3 linked regions of the Oryzias latipes genome follow. The protein of the gene in region 3 purifies or fractionates together with the protein of the main gene of each other region. This does not show direct contact. Links are inferred from orthologs where the notes say so. Each region holds a gene or a part of one and is shown on either strand. Other genes may lie near its edges.

Evidence for each region.
Region 1: the proteins of cnot10 (region 3) and cnot1 purify together in Homo sapiens (affinity purification with mass spectrometry; 4 studies listed by BioGRID and IntAct, with this or other methods). This does not show direct contact. The link is inferred for Oryzias latipes from reciprocal best matches to the Homo sapiens genes CNOT10 and CNOT1.
Region 2: the proteins of cnot10 (region 3) and capzb purify together in Homo sapiens (co-immunoprecipitation; 3 studies listed by BioGRID and IntAct, with this or other methods). This does not show direct contact. The link is inferred for Oryzias latipes from reciprocal best matches to the Homo sapiens genes CNOT10 and CAPZB.

What each region holds. Positions count from the first base shown.
Region 1 is NC_019864.2:25,882,164-25,885,810, forward strand, and holds part of cnot1 (CCR4-NOT transcription complex subunit 1), read right to left. Parts: intron 3,079-3,647; coding exon 2,782-3,078; intron 2,683-2,781; coding exon 2,542-2,682; intron 2,453-2,541; coding exon 2,348-2,452; intron 2,177-2,347; coding exon 2,057-2,176; intron 1,864-2,056; coding exon 1,669-1,863; intron 1,528-1,668; coding exon 1,385-1,527; intron 93-1,384; coding exon 1-92.
Region 2 is NC_019863.2:2,090,656-2,094,972, reverse strand, and holds the start of capzb (F-actin-capping protein subunit beta), read right to left. Parts: upstream 2,920-4,317; 5' UTR 2,619-2,919; coding exon 2,616-2,618; intron 1-2,615. UniProt on the Homo sapiens protein: F-actin-capping proteins bind in a Ca(2+)-independent manner to the fast growing ends of actin filaments (barbed end) thereby blocking the exchange of subunits at these ends.
Region 3 is NC_019874.2:7,745,856-7,749,961, forward strand, and holds the start of cnot10 (CCR4-NOT transcription complex subunit 10), read left to right. Parts: upstream 1-1,203; 5' UTR 1,204-1,399; coding exon 1,400-1,430; intron 1,431-2,013; coding exon 2,014-2,108; intron 2,109-2,213; coding exon 2,214-2,375; intron 2,376-2,447; coding exon 2,448-2,601; intron 2,602-3,695; coding exon 3,696-3,835; intron 3,836-4,106. UniProt on the Homo sapiens protein: Component of the CCR4-NOT complex which is one of the major cellular mRNA deadenylases and is linked to various cellular processes including bulk mRNA degradation, miRNA-mediated repression, translational repression during translational initiation and general transcription regulation.

The sequences.
Region 1 (3,647 bases), on a different chromosome or scaffold from region 3:
CATACTGCTGCATGTTCACTAAATGGTTCCTGATCAGAAGCTCGACTGCCTCCACGTTGTATTTGTATTCATCCCGACATTCAATCAGACACCTGAAACACGCATCAGGTTACAACTTTACATTTTTCTCTGGATGCTGCTTTGTCCAACATTACCATTAAAAAGACTAGAATGAATGCAGGAAAAGCTGTGGGCCTATTTTTCCTTTACATTTAGGAACACTCAGATCTTTTGATTAAATCCAACTCTAGTTTTCTTTTTTATCTTTCTAGTTTTGTTCTTGTAGGGCAGTGTGACGGTCCGGGGAAAGGTCCCTTTACATGCTTCCATCTTTTTTTTTTCTTTCCACATGAACATTTTTGTTTAAACTCTTAAAGTTCCAACCTTTGCAGGAAAAAAGCCTCAGTATTATAGAATGAAAACTATCTGCTCGCTATTAAAGATTTATGTACAGAAAGTCATTCCTGCCATCAGATGCTACAATTCATCTGGCAGCCATGACTGTCCATGTACACGGGGGTTTTGAGAGTTCTGCTTGTACATCTTTCTTCCCTCTATATTTTGAATTTATTTTATGGCGCTGCTACAACTGAATTTCCCTACGGGGATTAATAAAGTTAATCTTAATGTAAATTGTACAGCCAATTGAGGTACAGAACACAGGACAGTGTTAAAAAATAAAGATAACAAAGCAGGCCAAATTGCACTAAAGAAAAAAAACGGTCCAACAGCAATATCTCAATAATTGAACTAGGAAATAATGAGGGACCATTGTTATTCTGATCATAGAGGTTTGATGAATTCACATCTGAGCAGCTGTTAATTGATGCTGCTACATTTTCAGTGCTTGTATAAAAACAACTGAAAAACAAAGTCATTAAGTCTGAGATTCTGTCTGATAAAAGTGATTTTAATTTGGCGACTGGCGAGAAAGGGGTTAATTCACAGGAAGCTGCAGCTCACAAATAAATTAAGATGAAGAGATAAAGCTTTGTTCACTTGGGTTGGATCTGGGTGGCCCGTCCTCTGATCATGCCTTTGGCTCTTTGCTTCTTTTCGTGTTACGGCTGAGGATAAATATTCTTATGCCTAAAGATGCTGCAACGACAGTAGTCCGATAGTTCTTTGTGTGTCTGGTTCCATGTTTGCTTCTATCTCTTGTTGCAGAGGCTTTTCCTTTCCTTTCCTGTGTGTTCATGCTCTGCTTTTGGAACTAAAGTTCTCTTTAATCAAGTTACTGCATGTGGAGTCCTGCTCCTATTTTCCTTTCTGAGCCCCCCACTTCCTGGTCTTTTTTTCCCTGAATTCCTCAAATAAAAACTATAATCGCTCCTCAGTTAAGGTAACCACATGACTGCACCACCAAGCCAGTTCAATCCCTCACCTTGTGATCTGTTTATTGCACCACTGTGGTCCATAAGCTCGTCCGTCCTGCAGGGCTTTCAGCACCAGCAGGTGGCACTCTCTGTAGCGAAGCAGCAAATCTGCATCAGCACCACTTGTAGCATCCAGGAGTCCTTCCACAGCCTGGAGGGGCAGAGCAAACAAATCGATATGAATGCGTGACTTTCAGAAGAAACATTTCTAAAGTCAGTGGAGCTCGGGTGTTTTTTGCCAGAGAGACTTGGATTGTGAAGCTGTTTTGACACAGAGCTGCAAGAGTCGCACCTTCTGCAGCAGCCCAAGAGCAGCAATGCCATCCCTGGAGTTCCTGGCCAAGGCCACGGACTCCAGCAGGCTGCGCAGAGCCTGAGTCAGAGGGTTAATGGTGAGAGTTGGAGGGATGGCGTGAAGATGCTGCTCCATGTCTGCAATTAGCTTGTCATAGATCTGAGCCACGTCATCAGTGGCCCATGCCTGTTGCTGAAACACAAGAGAGGGATGGAGTCAAAAACATGTTTCTGGTTCGTCTGTCAAAAGAAAATACAGAGCTGAATATCAAAAATAAATGTGTTTCTTTTTTCAGAAAGAAAAGGGAAAAACATTCAATATTTCAGCTTCTGAATGACGGTTAGGACTTTTTTTTTTCCTTGACGGACACAGGAAATGACCTCACCTTCATGGGTTGAGCCAGGAAGCCAGTGGGCTGTGAAAGATCGTTGCTCGGCAGGAAACCCGGGATGTTTCTGGCAAACTCCTCATAAACAGCCAGCTGTTTGGGGTCGACTCCTCCCACCTGCAACACACGAGCCCGTCGTGTCTCATAAAAACTGCTGATCAGACACAATCTCTGAAATTTTCCAGCTTTGAGAAATAAAAACGTTAAGGGGAAGAAGAAAAAAAGACGACTACTTTTAAACTACGGCTTATTTTAATGATTCATAATTAGACGTCATCATGATTTCACCTTCAGCCTGATCTGTTCAGGCATCCGCTCAGCCTGGTAGGTCAGGACAACGGGATCACAGTAGCGCCGTCCCTCCTGGCGAGCATGTTTCCTCAGCTCAAACTCCTACAGACATCAGAGTAGATGTTAAAATAGGGCTCAATTGTTTTGATAAAAATGTGAACAAAGAAATGAGAATATTTTAAATCCCTCACCGTAGCCAGCCTTTTGTCCATCTCTGGGCCAGCCTTCTCCACAGCAGTTTTCTGAATGAAGCAGCATGCCAGTTCACAGTTGTCCTGAGCGACCCTGGCTGCAGCTTCCTCCATCATTTCCCTCTGCTGGGGGGTTGGAGCCTAACAGAACCCATAAATTCAAACTCAGTGAGTTAAAAAAGAAAAGAGCAGAGAAAACAGTTTTGCGTTTCAAAAAGATTGTGCAGGAACTCGGCGTACCCGAAGCGCCGCAGCAAAGCTGTTCTTCAGATTGGTGGCGATGCTCACGAGCAGCGGCTCACGGCAGGTGATCATGGCCATGCCTGCCGTGAGGTTCCTCATCATGTGGTGGGCGGCAACACGCATGCGAGACTCTTCTGAATCCAGGGCGAAGTCCTTCCTGATGATCTGCTCGCAGGTCGTCATGGCGATTTTGATGGAGCGATCCACCACAGGGTGCACCAGCTCCTGGACCGCCCGCTCCACTGACTGCCTCACACACTGCTTCAGCTGGGGGTGCGCCTGCAGCAGAGGGATCTGACAGCAGGCAGGCACACATGAGAAACAGCAGAACTAAAGACATTGGAGATTTGGATGCTTTTTGATTTGCTTGGCCCATCTAAACCGCACAGAGACTACACATCTAATAGGATGATGCACAAACAACAGGTGGGGAGGAGCTACAGCCGACAGTTGGTACCAGCCCACAGAAACGAAACAAAAAAAAAAAACTCAACATTTTCCCGTTTTTTTTCTAATCTGATTCTGAAGGAAGTTTTATTTGGAAAGTTTTTTTTAGTAGAAAAGAGTGAGGAAAGGGAAGAAGGTCCTTTCACTTCAAACTAGGACTGGGCAATAAAACGATAATTGCATATATTGCAATACAACTTTTTCTTAATAGAAGAATGAGTCTAATGCAATTTTACTTTTATTTTGAAGTGTCTGAAAGTAACACTTGCCAGTTGCAAGCTTTTTCTCCACTTTGGTGAGTAAACGTTAGAGGGTTAGTCAACAAATGGCGAATAAACGTTTGCGTAAACTTCATTTTAATTTGCTATCCTTTAGGTGAATTTCTTATGTCTTCTACTCCTCTACCATCTGCACAC
Region 2 (4,317 bases), on a different chromosome or scaffold from region 3:
ACCCGAGGGCATAAAAGCAGCTGATGTTCAGGATCTGTGGCGCCCTGGCAGGACAACGCCGTGTGGGAACAGGCAGACCTCCTGACTTGTCATGTGAACATTTTTTGTAAACATACACTGACTTAACCACAGTTTTTTTTTTTAAACACAGTGTTTAGATCACAAAAGGTGTATTTCTTCAAATTGGAAAAAAAACTTTAACTTAAGTGAACTGAAGAGGCCATGAGGCGACATAAATAACTCACATGTGGATGCAGTTCTCTGCACATAAACATTCCTCACAGGCTAGTCTGTGTTGATACAGCAGATCAGATTGATGCTAAAAACTGAAACGCTAAATGTGTTTTAACTGTGACAAATGACAACTAGAAAAGGTTTTATAACCCATCTTATTACAAATAATTTAGAAACGTGTCACAAAAAACGGTTTCTTAGTTCCACCGTTTGTCTTTTACATCTATTTCTACTCATTTCTTTTGTTGAATATTCTTCTGCCCAGAGTTAAAAAGGATCAAATGTGTACAAACTGTACAAATGTTGTGCTGCATCAGCTATCAGATCGAACGACGACGACCTGTTTGAGTGCAGAAAATCTTTCCCTCCATAAATCATTCCTTAAGAGTCTGAAAAAAACGTCTCCGGGGAGCAATTTCTCCACCTCTGAGTCACTTGTTTGGCTCCATCTTTAAGCCTCTTTTAGCTGATCTTAATCTGCATCATCAGTCACCTCCGTTCCTCGCACGTTTCTGTGTAAATACTAGCTCAAGCCAACAGGCCCCGGGGTCATGGGAGACTAGCAAGGCAGGACGGTCAGGATTATGACCGAGGCTCAGAGAAAAGGCGACTCCAGAGAAACAACATCTGCTGCTCCTGCTTTCAGCCACGCAGGACAGAGATGGGAGCTCAAAACCTGAACAAAAACCAAATTTCAAAAAGTCAAAAACAAATATGTCTTCAAAGCTGGACTCTGGGTTTCCTCTATCGTTAATCTCCACCTGAGTTATTGTTTCTGCGTCACTGTCTGCTTCCTCATACAAACTATGAATATTAGAGAAACATCCACGGCTCCAGAAACAGAAAACTGTTAGGAAGTTACTAAAGATTCATGTGACATTTGAAAAGTCCAACAGTCACCAAGCAAAAACCGGCTTTCAAGTCAGACTTCTGTAATATATTCTAAACAGTCAAATAACTTTGATTATGGTAGGTTTATGTTTTGGTTCTGCGCAATTTAGAAACAAAGTGGACAGAAATGGCTGGGAAGACAGAAAGTTGTCTAAAACACCTGCAGAGGCTAAATGTTTGGAGACATTACAACGGATAAGAATGAACAGTTTGTCATGTCAAACTCAGTTTTGTGAGACAACCTTTCAAACTAAAACGTAACAACAAACCTTTTGTTTATCAGGTCTTTATGGGACTAACAGACGATAGAAAAGTCCTTAGTTTTTGTTCTTTCGAAAGGTTTCAGGAAGTTCAAACAATATCAGGACACAAACAAATGTTCACCCAGTTGTGTTATAATTATTTAGATTTTATTAGAAATACCAAATGAAAATCATTAGCCTGTATTGAAACATGAAACTCATGATGCGAACAAATTCTTATTTTGGCGTAAAACTAATCAAATTCTTTGACATTCACAACATTTGTCTTATGTTTATAATAAATGAATTATAGTTCAAATGCTTTGAACATTTGTATTTTTTTTTTTTTTTTTACAAAACAACCTAAAGTGTTTAAAGTGGCGGCTGGCCTCTATTGATTATGCTGCACCTTTCCATCCTCACTATGGACTGATGTGCTTTTATTTGTTCAGACAAAAGCTTTCTGGTAGATTTTGATGAACAAATTCAATTTTCTTTTTAAAAATCTTCCCTAAAATCAGTTTGAAGCTCTTAAGTGAAAACTGTCTAAACAAATTTGGTTTTAGAAGGTAATCTAGAAAAAATGTATGAATATTTGAGTAGAATTGAACATCTAATGCTGCATTTTATTCATCTTTTAAATAACTGTTGGTAGTTTGGCAGTGATGTCTGGCTCTTCTGACCTAAATGAGAACAATAACATTAGTTTAACTCAAACGTCAACATTGATTTGTGGCATTTCTTGTTGGGGTAAATGTCTTCTTTCCTTTAGGAAGTCATGACTCCCCAAGCAGGAAACCCAGCAGCAGCAGCAGCAGCAGCAGAGGCAGTCGGTCAGCCCGTCACGGTCAGGAATACGAGCAGCGAGTCTTATTTTAGCGACAGCCGCCTCCTAGATCAACCAGTTTCAATGTCTGCTATATTTGGGGTCTTGGATACTGCTGCTAGCAAACTTGTGTCAAATCCAAAACATCCTGTGCTAACTTTAAGCCTAGCCTAGCAGGTAGCCCGAGTAACAGTTAGCTAACACCTAAACATGCTAGAAGAGACGGGCAAACCGTCCATGAACAGCGGTCCTAGTTTATTTACTCTCCTCATTACGGTTGGATGCCTCTGTGATTTTTATTTTTATTCCTCTCATGTTACCACTGCTCGCTTGTCGTAGCACCTGAAGGCGTATAGTTAGCCGCAGCCCCTCCAAAACCCTTCCCCGTCTCTCCCACCAGCTCCGCCGCGGCCCTTACTCACCATGTCTGCGGCGGTCTCAGCGGGGCAGGGGGGCACGATCCACAGATGCCGGTACGCGCTAGGTTCGCTTTTAATTTACCAACTCGTCCTTTTCGCTTTTTGTGGTTTTTATTTGTATTTTAGTCCCCTGCGGAAGATGTTTTCTTCGCCTCTCCCTCAGTGAACCCAGCCCTGTCAGCGAAATTTACTTCCTCAACCGGGCTACAGGAAGGAGGCCACGGCGAGAAAACAGGCCTCGCTTTGCACATCCGGGTCACTCCGGGCTGTCTCAGCAGCAGCCAATAGCAGCAGAGCAAAAGAGGTATTGCCAAGTATGGAAAGAGAGGAGTGGAGGTGTAAGTATGCAGCCGGAGAGGGCGGAAGACACTTTGCTGCAAAGACAGTATAGCATCGGTCTATAGGAAGAAGTTAAAAGCATTGCTCTTGTAAATAGATAATTAGGAAGTTATGCTGGCAGTTTGTCTGTTTGAGCTTTGGGACTGCAACCGTTTTTAATGTGTTCCCTTTATTTTGACCTCCAGGACATCACTGCCAAATCTTCCTGTGTTTTATTTGTGGGAGTGTGCAATTAAATGCATATGATTGGTGTCTCCATTAGTTGTTTTAAAAGTACATTTTGTGACAGTCCAACTGTCATTATGAGTTGTAAAACTTAGGAGTTGACTTAAATTTGCAGTCAGACTTCAATGTAGATAAACTTGTGACAAAAGGCTGGACTAGTCTTGGCATTTCCTCAGCATTTAGGAAATGTTTTCAATATTAAAAAAAGCTAAACATAGACAAGAGTAGTATTTATGTCCTCCGCTTTTCTGACGTTAAAATGAATTTAGGTCGTGTTCAGGGCCTCAAGAAAGGCAACATGTTTTCCACAGTTATTTACATTTGCAATCAGCTTTAATGAAGAGGTCCTTCTTTTCTTCATGCCACCCTTTAGCACAAATATATCTATTTAAGTGTACTACAAGTCGATGCTAAAAGTGAGGCAGTATACTTGAAGTTTACTTTTCATAAAGGTACTATCTATTTATTGCAAACTTAGGATGTTCCAATTTAGTCTAAAGAAATGTTTCTACTCTTCCCGGTCTATGGTAGCTATACATACTTTAGTTATATTTAAGTATACTTCATACAATAAACTGTACTTTTTCCCAGGGGACGCTAACATACGTTAAAACATTTGAAATTGTGCATGAATTCCTGTCGAAGAATTTGGGCAGTATAAGGTTCAGCATTAGACTGGTTGTTATAGGAATTTTTTATGCTTGTTTTTGTATAATAAATCCTAAATTTTTATTTTACAAATTTTTCCTAATTTTGTTGGTTTAATTTTCTTATGACCAGCTGGTGCCTAAAAGGAAGACCTGAACGTAAATTATGGAGACAAAATAACATTTCTCTCTTGCAAAATTTTTAAATAGTCCTCACATTGAGAGTATGAGAGGTACAGAGATTAGGAAGAAAAAGAAATTCACAATAAAACTGAGGAATGGGAAGAAAAAAACATAATTCTAGAATGAAGAGTAGCTACTTTTTCTATTTTTGCACATTTTGAGCACCCCTTCAGTCTTTTGCACATTGCTGTCATTCTTCTTTTTAACTGCTGTAGCAATTGAATTTCCCCAATGTGGGATCAATAAAGAATATCTCTATCTCTACTTAAAGATAGCCCCTTTAATTTCCACAAGATGAACATTTTCATAAT
Region 3 (4,106 bases):
TCACACACACATGCACACCTATAGGGACACTATTAGAGTAGCCAATTAACCAATGAAGCATGTTTTTAGACTGTGGGAGGGAGCTGGAGTGCCTGGAGAAAACCCACACATGCATGAGGAGAACAGGCAACTCCACAGACAAAGGTCCCAGTCGGGATTTAAACTGGGGCCTTCTCAGCACTAACCATTGTTCCACCTTGCAGCCCAGCGGCATTGTTATATTTGAACCCTGTTGAAGGGAATTTGCAGGACATGGGTGGGGGTGGTTGGGTGTGTTATGTTTTGGGGATGGCTCCCATCCTCGTCTCCTTGATTAGCTGTTTCCTCTATGTTCTTTCTTAACTCCATCTCTGCCTCTTTTTCTTCACGTTGTCTCCTTATTATTTGAAGTTTCCATTAATCTGTTTTAGTTCCTCTGTTTCTTCTTCTACCTCGCCTCACCTTTCCCTCTCCTGTCCATTGGAGAACAAGGAACAGTTTACCTTTAACTTGCATCTGGTATTTCATTTCTCACTGAGGTTATTGTAGTTAACAAGAAAAAACCAAACTAGATGTGATAAGGCACAAGAAGGAGACAGAGGCTTTGGGTAAGTAGCTCAATGACACCTGTGTTGACACCTTGATGCTACAAGACACAATCTCCAGCAGCTGCTCAGAGATCCGCCCAGCCTGCTGAAGAAAGAGGCGCACCATCAGACTGACCATAGCCACTGAGGAGAAGGACTGGAAGATACAGTTGAGGAGGAGGAGGAGCAGCATCATCAGGTGTCACTGAACTAATCCATGCGTATACCCCTGCAGGACTTGGAGAAGAAGCTGGATGTGTGCCGATCCTCATTGACGAGGCAGCTGTTGACCCAAAAGGAAAAGAGCAAGGAAGTCAGAAAAGAATCTTGCAAATAACAGGAGCAGACTGATCAGCTGAGCAGATACATCCTAAAGAGTTTCTGACTGTTTCATTCTCTGCCTTTTACTGACAGACAGATATTGGAAGTGGAGAAGTTCCACTATTGAGCTCATTTAATGAAGCCACAGAACTGTCTTCTACCTGATCAGCAGCCTGACTCGATAGGACGGATGTTAGATTTTGTTAATAAAGTTTGTTTATACTTAACTACAAATAAAGTTTATTCAAAATAAAAAAAGACGGCGCGTGCTCTCATTCTTACCATGGACAGTTACTTCCAAAGGGGGCGCTGTTGACAAACCGTGCGCTGGTGTCGATGGCGCCAGTGACCGAAGAAGAACCAAGAGAAGCGGCTACAGCAGTCAGTCACTGAAGCCGACCACAAACAGAGCTGGTCCGGTTCGTGTAAAACTCTTTCCAGTTGGATATTCAGGATTTCCTCTTCCCGGCGTTGTTCTTGTGTTCTCCTACAGCTCCGCGGCTGGATTGTGGATGAAGACCCGGGAAATGGCCGAAAACTCCGGTGGGTGTTCCGGCTGATGATGCTACTAACTAGCTGCTGCTCAGTTAGCGGCTGCTTCTGCATGATGATGATCCGTCAGTGTAGCTGAAACCCCCCCAAAAGACATTAGAGGTAGCCCGACAGCCCCGTGGCAGATCCAGGACTCCCAGGTAACCGTCCCGAAGTTGGGGTGCAGATAATACTGAGCAGACTGTGGTTAGATCAAAGTTCTTGAGGTGATCCAAGCAGGTCCTGCTGCTCATCATGGAACTATGACAGGACAGACCATAACTCAGACACAACACCACGTATGAAGGAACCCCAGCTTGGCCATGAACAGACGCGTCCCACAATAAACTGAGAGAAGGTCATTACGTCGTCATACACGTGACATTCTTTTGCTAAACTTAAGGCTACAATATCTGCCTTAAATGAGAGGGATTTTCAGAAATGGTCTTAGGAAGTTACCATGTGGGGTCTGAAGCCTCCAGAGTGAGAGGGAAGGACTGCAGAGACATGGCGCCCTTTGGGTTCTGGTTGAGCCACGCATTCCGTCCTCAGGTGGAACTCAGAGGGTTTGATGTCTCCTCTGTTGCAATTTCAGCCGAACGCAACGAGGAGAAGCATGACGGCTCGGGTGTGACGGGCATGAGCGACCAGGAGAAGGAGCTGGCCTCGAGTGCGTACGAGTGCTTCTTGGTAAGTCCGTCTCTCTTCGGATCGTCAGCAGAACAGGTTTTGGTGCATGTGGTGGAGGCTGGAGCTGGGTAATGCCACACGACGTGAAGCCTCTGTGTCTCACAGGCTGGACGGTACGAAGAGTCCATGAAGCACCTGGAAGCCCTGCTGGAGTTCAACAAAGAGGACTACAAGATCGCCATGAACAAGGCCGTCACAGAGTTCTACAGGAGCAGTCAGACCACCACGGGCACTTTGAGGCAGACGCTGATGGCCATGAAGAACCGGGTAACAGCAGCTCACCGACACCTGCACTCTAATACGTTATGAGACGTTTGATTGGCCGACTGTGTCCGCCAGCTCCACTCATCGCTGACGGAAGACGCCGATGGCCTGGACGACGTGGAGAACAGCCTGCTGTACTACAATCAAGCGGTCATCTGTTACCACTTGAAGCAGTTCTCTGAGGCCATTTCCATTGGAGAGAAGCTCTACCAGTTCTTGGAGCCGTTTGGTGAGTAGTCAGCAGGGCAGACTCCCCGCCTGCCGCTGTCTGTGGCACAGGTGCATGCTCTGCTCTGCGTCTGGACGTTCACATGGGGGTCACTGAGGTCACATTGTGAGAACACTGGGGTCCTGTTGTGTCCCAGAGAGGTCTGTTTCAGAAATGGAGAGTCCCTGCAGCCTCATTGATTATGGACCTGGAGTGTTTGACGACGCTGAAGTTGGCTTCCGATTCACAGCTTCCAATTCTCCAGGGGACTAAAGGAACATTCCACGGCATTTTTCACATGAAGGCCACGTAGAACCGGTTCCTCTTCAAACCCCACAGGGCCTGGACTGCTCAAACCTGGATTCCATTATGATTTAAATAGTAAATACATTAAACACAGATGTGGAGAAGTCTTCATGAATGTCCAATGAGGTTTAGTGCATGGACACACCATCTTTGGTCATGTGACCCTAAGGTCTGTGCTGAGCTCAGTTGACGAGTTTTCAGCTCCCTGGTAGTTGCTCTTCAACCAGATTCTACAAACTTCTAGCTTTTCCAATAATGGGAAATGTCAGATGTTGGGGGGGGCACACCCAAAGTCACCTGTCAGTCACCAGATCACGCCTCCTTTTTGATCCCAAATACCCTCAAATGGAAGCATCGTCTCCATTGTAGTGTCTGTAAATGTAATGAGAGGTCAAACCTGGATTTATGCTGGTGCTGCCTTTTCTGATGTAAACATCCCAGCTTTCTTTGTGATCTGACCAATCAGCTGATACTTTTCTTTTCAAACCAGCTTCAATGATGAAGTTAAAAGTCTTGGTTTGAGCCACATCTTCAGGCTGTCCATCTTCAGACGGCATGTTGTGCAGCAGGATCTGTTCTCAGCGCCTGTGGGTTCAGCTTTTTTCTGCAACGTTCTGTCTGAAAGCTCCTGTGATGGATCAAGTTCCCACAGTCACCGTCCTGATCCTCAGGGACGCGTCCCGCACAGTCTGACCCAACAGGAAGCCTGCTGGTGCAGACTGGACTGGGGGGGATTGCTCCATGCATGGCGTGCCTTACATCAGGTCTGCTCTCGGCTGTGTGTGTAAAGACTTTTTCATTTGTCCCAGAAGAGAAGTTTGCTCAGGCCGTCTGCTTCCTCCTGGTGGACTTGTACCTGCTGACCTTCCAGCCAGAGAAGGCGCTGCACCTGCTCGCCGTGCTGGATAAGCTGTCTGCTCAGGGCGGCAGCAGGAACGGGAAAGGAGAGGTAAGCGGCGCCGGCAGTGTGATGAAGAGACGCCTCATTTACAGGAGGAGGCTTTGTTCTACTTAGATTTGTTTAACCTTTTTCTGTCCCTTAGGTAAATGTTAAACCTTAAATCCTAATGATTTACAAGAACAAAGATGTTGAAAAGCAGAGTTATGGTATCTTTCGGAGTATAAATAGCTTTTTAGTTTGGGCAGGGGTGTGACTTATACTCAGGAGCAAATGATATATGTGATTTAAAAAAACTGTTTTTTAAACTGAGTCTGAAGAG